2 linked regions of the Nothobranchius furzeri genome follow. The protein of the gene in region 2 interacts with the protein of the main gene of each other region in a biochemical or structural test. Links are inferred from orthologs where the notes say so. Each region holds a gene or a part of one and is shown on either strand. Other genes may lie near its edges.

Region 1 (3,818 bases), about 19 Mb from region 2:
TTATTGACCTGCTCTCTGCTCTGATTCACCCAAATAACAAACATAAAGGACACAAAGGAAAAGAAACAACAAAACACGTCAGTATTTAAAAGAAAACAGCCCCTCCAAAGGTTCATCTGGAAGAAAGGGAAATAAAGAACTAAAATACATGTCATCCGTTTAGGGCGGTTTTTTAGATGTACAAAAATCTAAAGCAACAGTTTCTACTTGACAGCCATGCTTCGTATGTTTATGATCAGCCTCTTGCTGTAATCTCTGTGATCGACGGGCTTCACATCGAACACTGTGGCTTTTACTCTGGACTCATCCTGCCAAACACACACAAAAGAAAAAAATAAACAACTTTTTTACAAAAGTTATTTTTGATATTAGAAAAAGTCACATCTTCCCATTTAAGGTGCATTTCTGTGCATTAGCCAGAGCATTCAGGGTGTGGTATTTACCAAACACAATATGCTCCATTACCCTTTATTACGCAGCAATACGAAATGTTCACATAGAATTTATAAGCAGCGGTGGACAAACGCGAGCATCCTCCCGTGCAGCGCGCTTGGATGCGGTATGTGAAGTGTGATGGCATTTAGCTTCCACAGCTGTCTAGACATGAGGTGGTGATTTCTCTCAGGGCCATTTACCCCTGCATTTAAACAGAGGTTACGCTCAATTTTTCTCCATTAAATCTCTGTTGCTGAAGTGGCTAAAACGTAACCCGCCATCGCTTGGACTGATGCCTACTTTCCTTACGAAGCGTCTTATTGCTCGTTTGTTTCGGATGAAGAAAAATGGAGAAGCATTTTATGCTAAATATATATATATATATACATATATATATAAATATATTGATGGTTTTCGATTCATCTGTAACCTAAAAACTCATTTAAGGCCTGGGTAACCCTGCCCAGTCCTAACCATAATGAATGTTTGCCAGAATTAAAAAAAATAATAAAAAAGATAAATACCAGTTTCTAAAAGTAAAACACGGTACTTATCCCAAATTACTTTAAATAGTTGTAATTACAACTCACAAAAGCTCTGAACTAACAACATCACATGTTTACAAATGCAAAAACTATTCTAGTGAATTAAAAATGAAAACAAAAAGTTCTACAAAAGCCATGTTTCCACTATCAGAACTCTCTTTGGAAAAAGCCCGGAAGAGTCGCCGGCGCCAGTTGTGGTCAAATCTTGCTGATTGGTTGTAACTCAGTAGGAAATCACATCGACAAGAGGTTGCCAATCAACCCTTATGCTGGTGGAGCAGAATCGTAGGAAAGAAAAATGAGCAGCGTTTATGCTGCATTAAAAATCACCAATTCTAAATTCCTAAAACTAAAAAATGTGGCAGAAATCCTCCACAACACCCTCATTTTTGCCACCTAATGGTCCGCTACAGAGCACCATAAAAAAATGGCACTCAAGTCTGGTCATTGACCGTCCGGGGGCATATTCTAGTCCAGGTAGGGGTGTCACGGTGTGGAAACATTACCTCACGGTTATCGTGACCAAAATGATCACGGTTTTCGGTATTATCGCGGTATTTTTTTAAACGTGTTACATTTTCAGACAACTACATAAACCCTGTATGTCAGGAAAATATTGTCCTCAGTTTGTGTCCAAATTTAGCCTAAAATGTGTTATTTTGTAATTATGTTGTTTATTTGTTTACATTTTTTACTTTTGGTCTTTAAAATACCAATATTTGCCCATAACTTCTTATTTTGTCTGTTTGATGTCATCTTTTTAAAAATATTAGATCAGATGATACTCAGTACTCAAGTAGCCTTCTAATCAGATACTTTTTTTTTACCCTTACTTGAGTAATAAACCCTATATCAGGAAATATTGTCCTCAGTTTGTGTTCTTCCAGTGAGCTTTGCAGATGTGGGGAAATGTCATCAGGCAGTAATCATTGTTAAATTCATAATTATTCTGGGAGAGAGACCAACTCTTATCTGCCCCTGGGAGCCCCGTAATGCATAGCGTCATTTCAACATGGGGGTGTCCGCGACACGGTTTATATGCAGGTAGCGGCGCTGCGGCTGCTTTATATAGCGACTCGTTGCATTCTCCCTCAACCCAAATCCTCGGATCACGCATTTTAGCTAAAACGCTAACGTTAGCTTGCCTTGCGTTGACTGTAGCGTTGTGGGTGATGGTCACGCAGATGTGTCATGAGATTTGAAGCGTTGCTGCCTTCCACAGACACTTTTTCTGCACGTGCTGCAAACAGGATAGCCGTCTTCTATCAACTGTCCCTCGGCATTCTTCAAATATCCAAAAAATGCCCGTACTTCCCACTTTGTCTTCCTTGAGGGATAATAAATGTCCTGAGCGCTGCCGTCTCCTCCTTTGGCCATTATTTCAGCTTTAGCTTCAAGAAAGTTTTGGTTGTAAACAACAAAGTGCGCATGTGCCGCCGGCAACTTCAGCAGATGATACGGTGGCTGGTAAGGGTCACTGCGCCTACACCGCAGCCACGGTAAACCCAACAAGATTTTTTTTTTTAAACAAGACAGTTATTATTGTCAACTTTTTTTACCGGGGTTTACTGCTACACCGGTTACCGTGACAACCCTAAGTCCAGGTACTCAGTCTGTCACTGAAACGGCCCGGTAAAATAAAAACACGCTGAGAAGGTCTGGTTCAATTACCCAGAGACTCCTAGAGTGTAAACAGACCATAAACATGGAGGACAAGGCTCACACGACCTAGGTAGTGGCTTTGAATGAGTAAATGAACCGAAAGACGTGTCACAGGTGTCTGCTGGAGTAAACTGGTGTCTGGAGCACGGGCTAATACACGCTTGTTAGCAGCGCCCTTGGCAGTTAGGATGCTGGCTGACTGAGATGCACACAGTGGCCTCTTCTGTGTGTTGAAGGCGGATGCTGCCTCTGGCCCGGACCCAAACTTCCTGCTCAGAGTCCCAGCCCAATCAATTCTTTTATGTTTCCTTCCAAACAAGGCTTCATCTGTGTGGCCTACAGGAAACAGTGACCGCAGCTAGGCTGTGTGTGTGTGTGTGTGTGTGTGTGTGTGTGTGTGTGTGTGTGCGTGCGTGCGTGTTTGAGAGAGACCACCAGTATTCTGGGACAATCAGCTTTTACAAGACAGCCGTGCTAATAAAACCCAGGTTGTTTTTTACTCACGTTGTACGTTTCCAGTTTCACTCGGTTACGAAAGACAAACGTGTTGAAATTTGATTGCTGGAAGACTTCGTCCAACGCAGCTTCACTCTGACATCAGGACAAATACAAATGCTTTAATACACTCAAAGCAAATCATGTCCAATAGATAAAAACTTGAGCACATTTGAATTCCGTTGAATATTGTGGAAGAGTCTCACCGAGTCCCTGAGCTGGCCCAGGTAAGCTGCATTCTGGCCCAGAATGGCCTCTGCGCTCTCCTGGAAGCAAGTCACCCACTGGTTGTCGGTGTAATCTGCAATGTTAGCCTGACAGAGAAAAAACAACCAGAAAGATGACAATCAGGCAACCCTGAGGTGAATTTATCATGATACTTTTCATTTTTAAGTGTGATTTCTTTTGGGGTGAGGGTAGCTGCTGCTGGGAAGCCTTGTGAAGCACGGTTGCCCCACACACACACACACACACACACACACACACACACACACACACACACACACACACACACACACACACACACACACGCACACACACACACGCACACACACAGTGGAAGCAGCTTCACAGCTTATTTTTCAGCTTGTAAGGAACAATATGTCACATGGTGAGAGGCACTAAACAAAAGCTACTGGCTTTTATGGTTTTGCTACTGAGATTGTTGTTAATAAAAGGTTA
Region 2 (3,818 bases):
GTAATTTTGTGGTCTGTTAAGATTGTTTTCCCACGTCTTTCTTGTTGCAGGAGATCCTGCACTTCCTGTCAGCGTCATCCTGCGGCTCTTTACGTCTGACCCGACTGGAGGGGTTAAAGGAGCTGACCCGACAGCTGCGTCACAACAAAGGACAGATTCAAGAGCTGCTCAGAGAGTGCCACGGTGGGATGCTGGAAAAGTGTTTCTGCATGAGTAAAATCACCTTTTGTGTTGTGTAACACTCACGTCTTCTCTCTCTGGCCTCGTGTGCAGCTAACCCTGCTGACAGTGTGTTGGTGAAGCTGGTTCTCGCTCTGTTGCAACTCTGCAAGCTAGCTGCCAGTTATCCTGAAGGAGATGACATTTTAGGTACCGGATCTGCTCATTTCTTGACTTCCGATGAGTTTTTATGTGATGTTTTTATTAAACAGACAGCTTTTGTCCTGCAGAGGCAGCAGGCAGCTGTTTGGGAGAACTGGGCCCAGTGGACTTCTCCACCATCGCCCTCCTCCACGGCAGGGACCCGCTCTACGAGAAGGCCGTGGCTCTTTTCACCTCCACTGAGTCACAGCAACTTTACATCATCCTGAACTGCATGAATGAGGCGCTCACGCAGCAGCGGTACCGTGGAAGCTGTGACTCTGGTTAAACGTTCTGCATTAAGTGTTTGGGTTTGATTGTTTTTGTCTGTTAGCATCGAGGTGAGGCGGGCAGCAGCTCAGTGTGTGAGGAACATCCTCGCCACGCAGTCTGGAGCTGATTTCTGGGACCAGCACAAAGACAACAGAGACCCCCTGCTGGTTTACCTCAATCCCTTTCGAACAGCCAAGAACAAGGTGGGTCGGGTTGAAACGGATTTCTTTGTTTGTGTTTTGGAGTTAAGAGTTGGTCTGTCTGGGTGACCAGGTGGCTGCTGTGGCTGCTGTGGAGAGCTCAGAAGCCAAGAAGAAGCTGGAGAGCCAGGAGTTCTGGTATCCCCAGGCAGGTAGACACCAGGCCTGGCTGAAGGCTCTGTGCACAGCTCTGCTGGACAGCGGGGGGGCCAAGAGTGAGGCTCTGCAGCTGTCCGGACCACTGTGTCAGGTGAGCGTGTGGACACGGTTACTCCCAAAACGGCTTCAGTCACCAAAACATCCGCCGGTTCGTTCGGTTTGTCTCCAGGTGACGGTGGACTGCTGCCAGAGGCTGCTGCCTCTCATCATCCACTCTGTCCTGCTGGAGGACCCCAGCGGGTCCTGGAGGGAGCTGCTGTCCTCCCACATCCGGGACTTCTTCAGTTTTTGTTCCAGAAGCGCTCAAACCACCAGTCGGTCCACCACACCTGCCAACTCTGACTCGGGTAGGTTTACAAACAAAAGAAAAAAGAAAAAGCTGATTTTTATTAATTAATTAATTTTTCCAGCAGAGTCTGACTCAGCCTGCCAGAACTTGTGTGACAAGGCGTCTCTGCGCACCATGCTCGCTGTGATCGACTATCTGAGACACCAGCAGCGACCGCTGGAGGCTGATAGGTTTGTGGGTGTTCTGATTCTTTTTTTAACCTGTAGAAAGCTCAGCTAGAACTTCCTCCAACGTCACTTCAAACTTGAGATTTTTTCGCCCATCAGACCTTAAATGCGACTGCCTCATACATAAAGAACTGTTGTAGCTGCTCTGTTTTAGTTTGCATGGATTACTGTACCACCTCTATGGGTGAAGGTCCTGCAGCTGTGTTTGAAAGCACCATAGAATATATCTGTTAACATGATGGTCCAGGAGGACTTCCCATTCCGCCGCGTTCTTGTTGTAGTTCCTGAATCCCTGTCGTTATTCCTGCAGTAACTCCTGTGGCACGGTGTGTGACTCCAACTTCTGGCTGGACCTGAACTACCTGGAGGTGGCCCGAGCTGCTCAGTCCTGCTCCGCCCACTTCACCGCTCTGCTCTACTCGGAGATCTACGTCGACAAGATCAAAGCCAACATGGAGGAGAGGCGCAGGTAATCCCCAGATTTATCACGCTCGCTGAATAATGAAACATGGCGTTCTTAATTTGAGCAATCCTGCTTTAATTCTATTGGTTTTCATCACCAGATGATATTGATTTAAAACTCCGGCGTAAAACGTTGGAGGTGATATGCGTTCCTTCAAGGAACCTGGGTCTTGAATAGACGCGTGACATGAAGTTAGCTGGCAACTGGAATCAGTTTGATCAGTCTGAATCTCAGAAATATGAATTTTTTTCTTGTGAGCCTGTGAACTCACGTTGCTAAAGCGCTAATTCAGGCTAGCAGTACCAACACTTCCATGTGGACGTTTTCCCTCCCAGAATCAGGATTTTTAAGGTGATCAGGTGCATTGGCATTCAAAGCCAGGACTGATGCCTTTTCCAGTCTCAAGTGTTTAATTTAAAGATAAAAATGTTGTTGTTGGATTTATTGAACAAATGAAGGTCCAAGTCCAGAGCAACACGAAAGATCAATTTTGAGGACGACAGCCAGAACGTCACCATCTTCAGTCTGACTGAGAGGAGCATGGAGGACACCAACATCAGTCTGCAGGTCTGCTCTGCCGCTAACATGCGTTTCCTAAAAATGTAGCTGGAATTTAAAGTCACAGATTTAAAAGTGAAGCTTGGCTTTTGTTTTGTAGCTTGTTCTACTGTCATAAATCTTTAACAAAAGCCTTGTTTTCCCCCTCGTCTCCCTCTGGCTGCTCCAGGATCTGCTGATTGAGGTGTATCGCAGCATTGGAGAGCCTGACAGTCTGTACGGCTGTGGAGGAGACACCACGAGCAGCTCACTGACCCGGTGAGCTGCTTTTATTATCGTAACTGAGGGTTTTACCAACCTTCAATCCTACACAATAAGTCAAAAACAGCAGAATCTTATTTTAAAAAAAAGCTTAATAATACTGTTTGAGACCTTTATTGTGAAGGGCTGAAGAAAGTTCTGCTGACACTAGGCTTAAAAAACGACTTTGGGCTCTGGTGCACCAACATACCGTACAGTGTTTGATCAGAATGTTTTCACACGTTGGTCTACAGGATTCGGACGTACGAACACGAGGCTCTTTGGGGGAAGGCCCTGGCTTCATACGACCTTCAGTCTACTCTGCCTGAAGTCACTCGGCTGGTGGGAATCGTGGAGGTAAGGCGGTTAAAGCTGCTGCACTAAATAAATGTATGTAAGAGTAGGAAGAAGCTGTGTAGTTGCCAGTCTGAAAGGCTTCTGATGAGACATGTGGCACCAGGGCCTGCAGAACTTTGGTCTGAGCAGCGTCCTGGCCACCTACCTGAGGGGTTTGGAGAGCCAAGGGGTGGAGTGGGGGCCTGAGCTGCGAGAGCTGCGCTTCCAGGCGGCCTGGAGGAACGCCCAGTGGGACTGTGAGCTGTCAAACAGGTGAGGAGCAAAGAAATGATCTGATTTGGTGAATTTTAATTCACTGACCTGTTCTGCTGTAATAGGAGTGACGAATCCAACCCCGGCTTCCATGAATCAGTGTTTTGTGCCCTGCAAGCGCTGAGAGACAAAGAATTTCTCATTTTTGATGAAACTCTGAGACAAACCAGGTACAGTTGATGCATAAATAATCCAGTTTGTTCCCAAATATTCTCCAAGTTAACGCTAAAATGTGCATTTTTGCAGGGGTGCAGCAGTGGAGGAGCTCTGCAGAGGGAGTCTGGAGGCGGTGTCGTCTCTGTACCCGGCTCTCAGGGACTTGCAGAGCATCGGGGAGCTGGAGAGCATCAGACAGCTCTTCTCCAGGTGGGTAAAAGTCAAGAAAATGGAGCCAGTGAAACAAGAATGTATGAGCCAGATGAAGATCAACACTAAGGGTT

The links.
Region 1: the proteins of atm (region 2) and rpa1 form a complex in vitro, tested with the Homo sapiens proteins (3 studies listed by BioGRID, with this or other methods). The link is inferred for Nothobranchius furzeri from reciprocal best matches to the Homo sapiens genes ATM and RPA1.

Annotation. Positions count from the first base shown.
Region 1 is NC_091753.1:47,681,124-47,684,941, reverse strand, and holds part of rpa1 (replication protein A 70 kDa DNA-binding subunit), read right to left. Parts: intron 3,452-3,818; coding exon 3,344-3,451; intron 3,234-3,343; coding exon 3,147-3,233; intron 309-3,146; coding exon 204-308; 3' UTR 1-203. UniProt on the Homo sapiens protein: As part of the heterotrimeric replication protein A complex (RPA/RP-A), binds and stabilizes single-stranded DNA intermediates that form during DNA replication or upon DNA stress.
Region 2 is NC_091753.1:29,135,204-29,139,021, reverse strand, and holds part of atm (serine-protein kinase ATM), read left to right. Parts: intron 1-50; coding exon 51-183; intron 184-273; coding exon 274-369; intron 370-449; coding exon 450-621; intron 622-694; coding exon 695-836; intron 837-906; coding exon 907-1,083; intron 1,084-1,161; coding exon 1,162-1,339; intron 1,340-1,402; coding exon 1,403-1,511; intron 1,512-1,818; coding exon 1,819-1,977; intron 1,978-2,429; coding exon 2,430-2,538; intron 2,539-2,698; coding exon 2,699-2,787; intron 2,788-3,023; coding exon 3,024-3,126; intron 3,127-3,229; coding exon 3,230-3,378; intron 3,379-3,443; coding exon 3,444-3,548; intron 3,549-3,624; coding exon 3,625-3,744; intron 3,745-3,818.